Arabidopsis thaliana: one gene and its partners. The protein of the gene in region 2 purifies or fractionates together with the protein of the main gene of each other region. This does not show direct contact. Each region holds a gene or a part of one and is shown on either strand. Other genes may lie near its edges.

Evidence for each region.
Region 1: the proteins of MEE34 (region 2) and AT5G26360 fractionate together in Arabidopsis thaliana (co-fractionation; one large-scale study listed by BioGRID). This does not show direct contact.
Region 3: the proteins of MEE34 (region 2) and BETA-UP fractionate together in Arabidopsis thaliana (co-fractionation; one large-scale study listed by BioGRID). This does not show direct contact.

Annotation. Positions count from the first base shown.
Region 1 is NC_003076.8:9,257,268-9,261,021, reverse strand, and holds the start of AT5G26360 (TCP-1/cpn60 chaperonin family protein), read left to right. Parts: upstream 1-1,993; 5' UTR 1,994-2,130; coding exon 2,131-2,155; intron 2,156-2,249; coding exon 2,250-2,311; intron 2,312-2,402; coding exon 2,403-2,475; intron 2,476-2,775; coding exon 2,776-2,843; intron 2,844-2,923; coding exon 2,924-2,993; intron 2,994-3,188; coding exon 3,189-3,257; intron 3,258-3,338; coding exon 3,339-3,410; intron 3,411-3,525; coding exon 3,526-3,599; intron 3,600-3,754. UniProt on the Arabidopsis thaliana protein: Molecular chaperone; assists the folding of proteins upon ATP hydrolysis. Known to play a role, in vitro, in the folding of actin and tubulin.
Region 2 is NC_003074.8:3,527,071-3,530,824, reverse strand, and holds the start of MEE34 (Mov34/MPN/PAD-1 family protein), read right to left. Parts: upstream 2,004-3,754; 5' UTR 1,837-2,003; coding exon 1,650-1,836; intron 1,260-1,649; coding exon 1,167-1,259; intron 1,087-1,166; coding exon 1,005-1,086; intron 826-1,004; coding exon 729-825; intron 597-728; coding exon 521-596; intron 365-520; coding exon 306-364; intron 167-305; coding exon 44-166; intron 1-43. Other genes in the region: WOX5 (WUSCHEL related homeobox 5), read right to left, coding at 2,562-2,806, 2,916-3,219. UniProt on the Arabidopsis thaliana protein: Acts as a regulatory subunit of the 26S proteasome which is involved in the ATP-dependent degradation of ubiquitinated proteins.
Region 3 is NC_003076.8:25,737,434-25,741,187, reverse strand, and holds the start of BETA-UP (beta-ureidopropionase), read right to left. Parts: upstream 2,058-3,754; 5' UTR 1,925-2,057; coding exon 1,814-1,924; intron 1,633-1,813; coding exon 1,525-1,632; intron 1,430-1,524; coding exon 1,241-1,429; intron 1,147-1,240; coding exon 919-1,146; intron 841-918; coding exon 616-840; intron 523-615; coding exon 157-522; 3' UTR 1-156. Other genes in the region: EIP9 (Chaperone DnaJ-domain superfamily protein), read left to right, coding at 2,586-3,754. UniProt on the Arabidopsis thaliana protein: Catalyzes a late step in pyrimidine degradation. Converts N-carbamoyl-beta-aminoisobutyrate and N-carbamoyl-beta-alanine (3-ureidopropanoate) to, respectively, beta-aminoisobutyrate and beta-alanine, ammonia and carbon dioxide.

The DNA of each region.
Region 1 (3,754 bases), on a different chromosome or scaffold from region 2:
AAATTACATTCAATTAATTGCTAATTTCCTAAAATCTATATATCTACATTAATAATAAATATATGATTTTTCTTTCATTTTTATTTGTTCTTATATCTAATTTATTTTTATTTGATATATATAATACATATAGTTAAAAATATATTAGTTTTTTCTGCATATGAGGTAATTCAAAATTTTAAAAACACACATATACTACTCAATCGATGAAGAAAAAAAATAAGTAGAAAAAATCCCACATTACTTTAAAAAATTGAGTAATAGTTCAGAGTCATACATGGCTTTCAAAGCAAAAACTATAGCCTACATAACAAGGTTCAACACAACCTGATTACAAAGAATTCTATAAAACAAAGATGGGCCTATTTCTTTGATCACACTGTGTCTTAGTAAAAACTAAGAGTCTCAAAGTCTGTAATCTGAAAAATCAAAGGAAGAAAAATTCAGGGAAACGAAACAAACACAAATGAGAAATCAAATAAATTAGCGAACCAAATTACAAAAACCTAAAACAGGAGGGAAAGCACTTACTCTTGTTATAAGAAGTAGACTTGACAAAAATAATCTTAAAAGGAAAAGATGATAACACTGAAGAGTTTGGAACAACTTTCTGACGGGAGATGGATTAGGTCGAGGGAGATTATACTATTAACAGAGGAAAAAAACCAAAAAAAACTCCATTTATTTTTAATTTGTTCATACCTGCGTTATTTAATTTGGCCGTTTAATACCTAAGTTAATTTTTATGTTCATTAAAAACCTTCATTTTTTTAAATTTTGGCAAAATCAGACATGCGAGTTAACGGGCGTTAACAATGGTAACGGAATCGCTAACCGCAGTTAAAACTTAACCATATAATGTTTACTATTTATATACAATTTGTTTTCTAATAGTTATGATCATATTATCTTAGTCCCAGTGGTTTTGAGAGAGATTATCATCCTCATCAGTTCGAGATCGATTCTCATCTCCAACAAATTTTTTGATTTTTTTTTTTAACAAAAGGCAAAATCTCAGTAATCCGAGTTACGATTTTGAATTTGATTCTGAGACTTTCTTTTGTTTAGCACCACGTTTGTTAGATCTGCTTCAATTCGATTTTGAGAACGAGCTAAATTAGATTCCTTCATCTCTTCAATTCATATTAAGGTTTTCAATTTCTAGATCGATTGATATGAATAAGTCAGCAAAGATTGCATATTCCCAGTTTTTGCTGATATTTTGCGTTGAAAAATCCAGACTTTGTTTTTCATTGTTAGTAACGTTGATAGCTTATAGAAAGATTATGTTACCATTAATTGCATCTGTTGATAACAAATAAGATCGATTATCACAAATCTATGTTGTATTAATTGGTCTAACATTTGGGACTTTTGGTTGGTGATTGATTTTGGTGCAATATCCTTTGGAGAAAGAAGTGAAGCAACACACAAGTGCAAAGCCTGTTGAAGTGAAAGAGATGGCTGACTTCGATTTTGCCTTTTTGTTAAAAAAAAAAGAAAAAAAATCAAAAAAAATTTTGGAGATGATAATCGATTTTGAATCGATGATGATGGTAATCTCTCTCATAACCACTCGACTAAAATAATATGTTCATAATTATTAGAAAACAAATTGTATATAAATAGTAAACATTATATGGTTAAGTTTTAACTACAGTTAGCGATTTCGTTACCACTGTTAACGCCCGTTAACTCGGATGTCTGATTTTGCTAAAATTAAAAAAAAAAAAAAGGTTTTCAATAAACATAAAAATTAACTTAAATATTAAACAGGTAAATTAAATAACGCATGTATTAAACGGACAAATTAAAAATAAATGAAGTATTTTTTGTATTTTTTCCCTCTTAACAAATTAGGTTAACAATTCTCCCGTTCTCACGCATCTTTACCTAATCTTCCGGATATAAAAATACTATTACTTTGTTTTGATCTTACAAAAAGGCCCAATGTGTGAAATATTAGTTAATGGGCCTTAGGGATGGGCTTCTCAACCTAAAATGAAAAGCACGAGAGAGGATGAAAGAAATCGGAGAAGGCAGTAGGATCTTCCACTTGCCGCTCTTTGAAAATCACTCGCCGTGTCTCTCTAAGCTTCTTCTTCACTGTGAAAACCTCAGATCGCAAATATGCACGCACCGGTACTCGTTCTGAGTGAGTATCTCCATCTTCCTCCAGATCTCATTTCCTCTAAATCGATATTAGTTTTTTGGTAACGAGATTAACTCCTTTTGTGAAAATGGTTTAGGCGATTCGTTGAAGCGTGAATCTGGAAGTAAGGTTCATCATGGTAATATCCAAGCTTCCAAGGTAAATTAATCCTTTTCTATGGCTCTTTTTCTCTGTGATGCTTGTTGCTTCTCTCCTCTGGTTTCAGATCATCGTTGTTTTTGTGGTACAGGCTGTTGCTGATATCATTCGTACAACATTGGGTCCTCGTTCTATGTTGAAGATGCTTCTTGATGCTGGTGGAGGTCTTTTTCTAAACACTTCCTCTTTTTTTTAGGCTTTTCATATCTCTGTATGTGGGTAGTAGATCTCTGTAGTGAGGGAATTAGGTTTAGTGTTTTTAGCTTTGGAAATGTTTTTCTTATGTACTCGTTCTTTGTTGAAGCTATTGTTCTTCAGTTTCGGTGTTAGTTTTATATAAACCCTAAATCAATATTTGGGTTCTGTTTGTCTTGTTTTTTTTTTTTTTCTGTCTACCTTTAATTTTTCTTAATCTGTGTGTTATCATCATATCTTACCCCTCTTTGTTTCTTGGATCTTTACAGGGATTGTTGTTACTAATGATGGGAATGCTATTCTTCGTGAGCTAGATGTCGCTCATCCTGCAGCTAAGGTTTTACTTCTGACCTTTCTCTATCTATTGTTCTTGTTAAAATTGTTTTACTTATCCATTTTTGACTCTGGTGATTGCAGTCAATGATTGAGTTGAGCCGTACGCAAGATGAAGAAGTTGGTGATGGGACAACGTCTGTTATTGTTCTAGGTACGAACATTCTTTTTTGCTAACAAATAGTTTGTCAATGGCTTGGTTTGGACCAGTTTTAATGTATTTTTAACTAAAGCACAAACAAATTACTTAAGGATATTATGGGTGCTGCAGTATTCAGTTCAACATCATGATCTCTGTTTATAATCATGGGTTCTTGAAGTCCTCTTTTTGTTTGCTTTTTGCCAACAGCTGGTGAAATGCTTCACGTTGCAGAAGCGTTTCTTGAGAAGAATTACCATCCCACAGTCATATGCCGAGGTATGCTGGCACTATGAATTGCTTATTGTTGTCATGTTACACATGTCGTTTTCATCTTAACGAATGCATTCTTCTCTGCAGCTTACATCAAGGCTCTCGAAGATTCTATTGCTGTTCTTGACAAAATTGCTATGTCAATTGATATCAATGACCGTAAGTCCATTTCTACCTTGTATTTGTTCATTTGGAGTTGACCTTCAGCTACTTTGGTTTCTGAAGTTAGTTTTTCTTTCACGTTTGTACTGATGGAAGAATGTGTGAGTTGCAGGTTCACAAGTGCTAGGATTAGTCAAGAGCTGCATAGGGACAAAGTTCACTAGCCAATTTGGAGATCTTATTGCGGTAAGTACCGTAATTACAGTAGCTTCTTACTTATGCATTACCAGTCCAGGTTTTATTGCTCCTTAATATATATTGGATATGTCTAGACAAGTAGGTATAGATACAGCATACATCTTGAAGTGACTTTTTAAATGTAAGATGAGTAACCATGAAAT
Region 2 (3,754 bases):
AACCAGTTTGATTCTACTAGTCAACTACAATTAAAAGTGTTACCTGAAGATGGTATAAGATTTCATGGTTTAATGGGAGTTTTCCTTCGATTACAAGGTCAAGGTAAGTCCGGATCTCCCGAAGTCGTGCATCCAATCCCTTCAGAGCAGTAAGTTTCGCAGTGACCTGAAATACAGTTCACAAATAATTTCAGTTTCCTCAATATATGTTCCTCACATTTTGTTTTGAGAGCAACAATCATGATTTGAATAAACATTAAGAAGCTTGATGATGAAATGTTTAAGTTATGTGTGAAGAAAATAACCTCAGTTGCCAAGGTACTGATGGTTGTGTCTTTTACATCCCTGAGCAAATGTTCCACACCTGTTCAAGACCAACCAACTGGCGTAAGCGAAGCAAGAAGGACTCCATTGAGTTTCCTCGGAAGCATTTACAAAAAAAAAAATTCCCTCATCATTCTTATGCTCTGAAATAAGGAAATCAAACTATCAAAGGATTTGTTTCCCCATGTAGACATACCAATTTCCTCAACTTCATGAGCTGCAATTTCTGTAGGCACGTGTACAAAAACCTGTTGGCTTTTCTGGGTAGCATTCTGCAGAGAGAGAAGTTCGGATCAAGGCAATTAGATATATGGATATAACTAATGCAGAAAGTAAATCAAGTATGTCAGATGCAACTTAACAGTCGAGCAAGTAAAATGGTTAGAAAATTGGCTGGTATTTACCTCTTTCACCTCCTCAACCGCATAGTATGCTTTTGTGGGGATTCCAAGTTCTTTAGGTTGGACATCAATAATGACCAACACTGGATTTGGAACGTAGCTGCAACACCAGAAACTAAGATTAAAACCGAAGTAATACAGAAATAAGGTCTAGCAAGAGAGGAGAGATAGATTGTGAATGCTTTAAAACGTTTGTACATATATAACTTAAACAGACCACCAAACCATATATTAGATTAGACCATCATATCTCATATTTTAGACTGATTTTGGTCTTACCCATTGAATAAAGCGTGAACATCCAAATCATTCTCTCGAAGTTTAGGACCTGTGCTGTACCAACCCACAATATGCTCCTTAGCTGAAAGCAAATATGAAAATCAGTCAAAAAAGAGGCTTTCCACATATATACTCTTAAGCATTATATTTCCCGAGCAATACCATTAATTCTCTTGAACATGTGAAACATCGACTCGTGGTAGTTGTGATCAAGAAACCATATGCTTGTGTCTTTGTCATCCTCCTCAAAAGGCACTGTAAAACCACAAACAAAAAGTCAAACAAGTGATGTGCAAGTAACAACAACGCACTTATGAACATGCTCACAGTGTAATGTACTGTGCAAAATCAAATGAAATCTGTTTCATTCTCTAAGAAATTAACTCAACCACCATATTATACTCATCACTCCAATATGGAATTAGGCCACTAGGACCAAGTTTGACTGAATCCAAGTATCACACAACGATTTTAAAAGTAAGACAATTTTGCAACCCAAAAGCTAAAAAAAACTAAACTTAAGTAAATTTTCAGACAAGAACACTAAACATATTGAATTATGAGATTAGCAAGAGCTTAACAAACTTTCAGAGATCTGTGAGATCGAAGAGAACAAAGAGAAAGGAAAAAGTAAAATCAAGGCACCTGCGTAGCTGTTGGTGACGTCAACAGTACCACGAGAGCTACTTCCGAGCAAAACGCCGACGACGCGCTTGCTCGTGTCCTTGGCTACACGATTGTAATGGTCGACGATACTAAGCAAGACAAGTGGGTGAACGATCACTTTCTCGATTGTCCTTGCCGATATTTGTTGCGTCTTTATAACATCCATTGTTGGGTTAATCAAATTCGCTTGAGTAATTCTAAATTTCTTTCTCCGGGAATGATCAAAACCTCAACTTTTGATTCCGTTTTATCTCCGACGGAACTTGAGTTTGCTTCTTCTCCAGGAAAACCCCTTTAATTAATCTTCTCTAGGCACTATGGGTTTAACCAAAGTTTGGGCCTTCTCTGTATTATAAAGCCCAATTATATGGGCCTAAAAGACAATGGGTCTGGGTAAAATAATATTAAGGATATTAATCTGTTCGTTTAAAAGAGTTGGTTTTATTCTGATAAGATTGTGCAAGTTTTTTGGTCTAATGGTTGTTGATCAAGACTTAAGTATTTCGAGATGATGTAAATTTTGTAAATTGATAGAGATAAGTTTTAAGTTTGTTTTTTTAACATCTTTTAAGTTTTAAGTTTATCTGATATTTCTAGTATTTCTGTGATGCAAATAGAACTATTCGTTAATGATGTCTTTCTTAAATTATTTTTAAAAAATATAGAAAAATACATTAACAAATCACAACCTTAGTTATATGATGATATACATATACGCATTCCATAACATAGATTCTTATATCAAACAAAATGAGACAACTTTTTGATAAACCATGCATTGGAAAATATCTCATAAACCATGCATCGGATAATATGTCATAATTCAAAATACAACAACATTTTAAAGGCTAAAGCATCTGTTTTTTTTCTTTTGTTATTGTGGTCAATGACTTAAAGAAAGCTTAATCGAAGATCTAATGGCGGTGGATGTTCCATTTCAGCTCCACATGATGAGTATGGAGAAAACGACGTCGTGGTGGTCTCTCGAATATATTCACGGTACTGGTTATTGCCTCTAGCTCTCATTTTGTCCACCTTGGAGTTGGAGTCTTCAAATGAATTCACCGGAAAGAGTTGTAATGTCTCTATCACCTTCTCTTCCTCTTGACAATCTTCTTCGCTTATTTCAAAAACATCTATAATAACACACTATTATCCATTAAATATATAGAAATATCATATAAAACAATAATGATATATAATTATATATATATATATATATATATATATATATAAAGAGACTACCTCTAGTTGATGGTTGATGATGATGATGATCAAAATCAATGGAGATTTTACGACGTTTCTGCCTCTCCCTAGCCTTATGATTCTGAAACCAATAGAAAACATTCTTGCTCTCTATCTTGCCGTAGAAACTGAGCTCCGTAGAGATCTTCTGAATCTGATCAGTTGTTGGAGTTCTAAGACCGGCTCGAAACAGATCAGTCAATATCTTCAACTGCTCCACCGTTGGATTCCATCTCCCGCACTTCGTCCCCGTTCCTCCGTTATTGTTGCCACGTAAGCTTCGACCTTTCACGGAGAAAGACATGTTCAGATGTAAAGTCCTCAACTGTTTTACGTTTTAGGGCCTGTGTATATATCCATATATATAGTAAGATTGTTCATAATAATTTATTAAGTTTTCATCTTTTCGAAAATAAAAAGAGAAATGAATTGATGAAATGTCGGGAGGAGAGGTTTTCGAGTTATGTGTCGTTTTATGATGAGTTGTTTATTACGAAATGCATGCTTTGTTTTTTTTGGGGATTTGGGAGAGACTGATCTTTGCAGATTTGATCGTTTTCTTTATCCTAACCTATCTAGGCTTCTGTTCCATCTATATTTACATATGTTTTTGTGTGTATATATTAGTATATAATTGGATCTCGCATTCATGCCATGGCATGCATAAGTTGTATATCGGAACCAGCGATTGAAACATTGAATTTGTTCTCCTTTAATTTGTGGTGACTCGCACACACTTAAATTGCGTTCTACGTAATTTCTTACTATTCATATAACATGATAAGAATAATCAGAAAGCCTTGGTGGTAATGTACTATCTAGTGTCAATATTTTAACGT
Region 3 (3,754 bases), on a different chromosome or scaffold from region 2:
AACCGGTTCGATTATAAAAGCAAAGGAGCTGCCTTTTGGCATCAACATATATTCAGCTACAAACAGATTTTCAGTTACCGTTACATTTACACAAATGATTGAACATTGATTATTGGACTTTTCTTCTTTGAAGATTCACAGAGTGAAATTTTCTTCTTATGTAGAATTCTTGTGGAGCAATGGGTCAGAGACGACTTGAGGCTTGAAGTCTGGCTTTATGTACTTTGCCAAAAGATCGGCATAGACTTCGTATCTTGCAGTCATTCTAAATCCCCACTTGTCCTTGTATTGCCGGCAGAGATTGAGATCCATGTCCGAGATCAATAAACCATCTTTGTAACGGGACAAAGACGGTGTGCAAGAAGCATCTGGTGCAGAAAAATGGCTTGACCCATAGAAATGCCCGAAATCATTGTGTTGCGGTTTTCCATCACCTGACGTAAAAGGATTGGGGAATACTTCGGTTCCAACTCGGTTAATGGATCCAACAAAGTAACTGTTTGCTATTGCGGCATTTCGTGCCTGCAAGTTTTAAGGAACATATTGCATTGTTAGACAGTGTTACTAAAGAAAGAAAGCTTCAAATTGAGTAAAGTGGAGAATCAGAAGTTAAACCTCAATAGGCCACATTGGTTCACTGAGTTCACCAACAGTTGCTGAAGGGTTGAAGACAATCTCTGCACCATTTAGACCAAAAGCTAACCAATTCAGAGGATGGTGTCTGCCATAACATATATTAACCGCAATTTTCCCAAACACCGTCTCAAACACAGGATGGCCTGTGTCTCCTTCCATGTAATAGGTGCTCTCGTTGAAATCTCCTACCCTAGGTATATGGTTCTGCCACCAAGCAAGTAATAGAAATTAGCTGACAAGAGAAAAGACAGAGCAACAAAAGACGTGTTAGCACAAATATACCTTTCGATGCTTGCCAATGATATTTCCATTATTCCCTATAATCACAGCGGTATTCCAAAGCACTTCACCGTGATCAATATCTCTTTCGAGAATAGGACTAACAATCACCATGTTATACTTTTTAGCGAGTTCTTGAAGAAACTTTGTCGATTCGCCATCAACAGGCTCTGCAAACTCACACCATCTCCTCTCCCTAGTGCAAAATGCAAATGGCATGGTCCAAGCTTCCTATCGATAAAACCATTCATTCCCCCCCAAAGAAAAGGTCAAAAACAATTGAAGTAACAACTTTTCAATAAAAGAAAGCAAATGGAGGCAAAACCTGCAAGCACAGTATGTTAACACCAGCAACACCCGCAGCATCGATTATCGGCTTCAACTTGTCGAATATTCCTCTTGTTTGGTCCGAGAATGGAGCAGTGGTTGGAAGAGCAATGGAGTTTTGAATGAGACCAACTCTGACCACTCGAGGATTTCTCATTTGCTCTTTATCAGCTGAAAAGCTAGCAGCCTAGACAATATTTATACAAAGATCAAATCAAATCAAAACATTGTCTCAATCTATTAAGTTCAATGATCTGATCCTATAACTAACGAAGTATAAACCTGGAGATCAAAATCATGTTTTGAAGACAAGGCTTTAGCAGACTCCGGCAGAACAATCTGTTCAAGCGATCTCCCACAGTTACGTCCAAGGAGCAACCGGTTTACCTCCTGCAAATCCAATCATCAACAATCCATATTTTTTAAAGCTGATCAACATAACTAAAATAAACACTTGAAACCACTAGAACAAAAGATCCATAATATCATCATTCGAATTAGACAGGCTAATCAAAAGCGAGATCAAACACACTAGAAGAGTAATTTAGTTTGGAGGGAGTGGATACGTCACCTGATAGAGCTCGGGCTTAAGATTCGCTGATAAGAGTTGATGCAGCGAATCATAGCCGCAAATCGATCCTTCGGCACTTGTTTCTCCGTTTTCTGATATCATATGATCCATTTTTTCACGAGTCTTTTTCGATCACGAAACCAAGATGGCGATGACTTTTATGACAACAGTGATCGATCGGTTTGGTCAATTGATTACGAATTATTTTCTGGGAATCGGAATGTAATATTTTATTTTAGTTAGGCTGTCCAGACCTAAAGCCCACCAGATTATATTTTAATTCTTAAAAGAATTATTGGGCTTTACAACATCCTAAAAAGCATCTGTATTGGTGGTTTTTCGTTCAAATCTCTCATCTACAAAAATAAAAATAAAATAGTAAATAATGTTTTTTTTAATTAAAAAAATCTCTCAGTAAAGATGAGTGAGTCTCTCATTTGAGAGATTACAAGAAACTTTTCCAATTGTTTAGAGAAACTGTCCTAAGAGAATAATATTACATCTTATTTTATTAATATTTTTTGTAAGTGAAAAATTTAGAAAAAAGTGTTCCGGCCCATTGACGATCCATCACATTGCACATATTATATAAAATGAAAAGGACCAAAATGCCATTGACGATCCATCATGTTGTTGTTCCGGCCCATTGACGATCCATCATGTTTTCGTCCTTTTAATTTTTAGATCTGTATTTACTCTTTACCGATAAAATAATAAATAAATTCAACGGGGAGAGAGGAAAAACGAAAGGGAACAAAAAGAAATAGGGGATATGGTAGGCGGACGCGGCGGAGTTGGCGGTGGTGGTGGTAACAGAGTGGAGGCGGATCAGTGGCTTGTAACATCGGAGAAGCTTCTAGCGTCTAGTGATCTTCAAGGAGCAAAGACATTTGCGATCCGCGCATGCGAAGCTGACCCGACCCGAGCAGAAGCTGCAGACTACATCCTCGCAATCTGCGACATTCTTCTCGCCGGAGAGACTCGTTTAGGTGATTCCAACTTGCCAGACTGGTACGCCGTTCTCCGACTCGGTCGTTTAGCTCAAAACCCTGAACACGTCGCGACTCAGTACCGTAGACTCGCTCTTCTCCTCAATCCTTCCGTTAATCGTCTCCCATTCGCCGATCGAGCTCTTAAAATCGTCTCCGATGCTTGGTTCGTTCTCTCTGATCCGTTCAAGAAATCATTCTACGACCGAGAATTGCAACTTAGTCAACTCGGTCAATCTGGATTCCATCCTCAAACCCAATCGCATCAAAATTTCCAGTGGGAACCTAGCAGTAGCACCGCCGTATATCCGCCACCGCGGTCTCAGAGCCAGGCTGGGACCTCGGCGGATCCTATGGCGACGAGCTTCTGGACCGCTTGCCCTTACTGCTTTGTACTCTTTGAGTACCCTAAGGCTTACGAAGAATGTACTTTGAAATGTCAAGAATGTAGAAGAGCGTTTCAAGCTGTGACGATACCAAAACCTCCGGTGGATAAGAAAGACGACGAAGACGTTTACTTTTGCTCATGGGCTTTGTTTCCATTGGGGTTTTCCGGTGAATTTCAAGCTCCAAGTTGGTCACCTATTTCACCTCTCTTTGCCTGTCCTCTGCAAAAGTTGGATGGTGAACCAAAGAAGAGAAAGGAACCGGGTCCTCCTAGGATTTACTATGACGATGATGACATTTATGTTGCGATTTCGGATGGAGATGACGCTGGTGATGATGGTGATTGGCAAGATGTGGTACAAGTGAATAAGAAGACGAATGTTGGGAAAGGGAAAGAAACATATGTGAGAAGTAACAAGAAACATGGAGTTGAAGAAGTCCAAAATGTAGAAAGTATCAGTAGTGCTAGCAATCACGCGGTTTCAATTGCTTCAAATGCTGCGGCTGTTGGGTCTTCAACTGGGGTTATGTCTAAACCAGGGAGTTATATTACTAGAAAACGAAT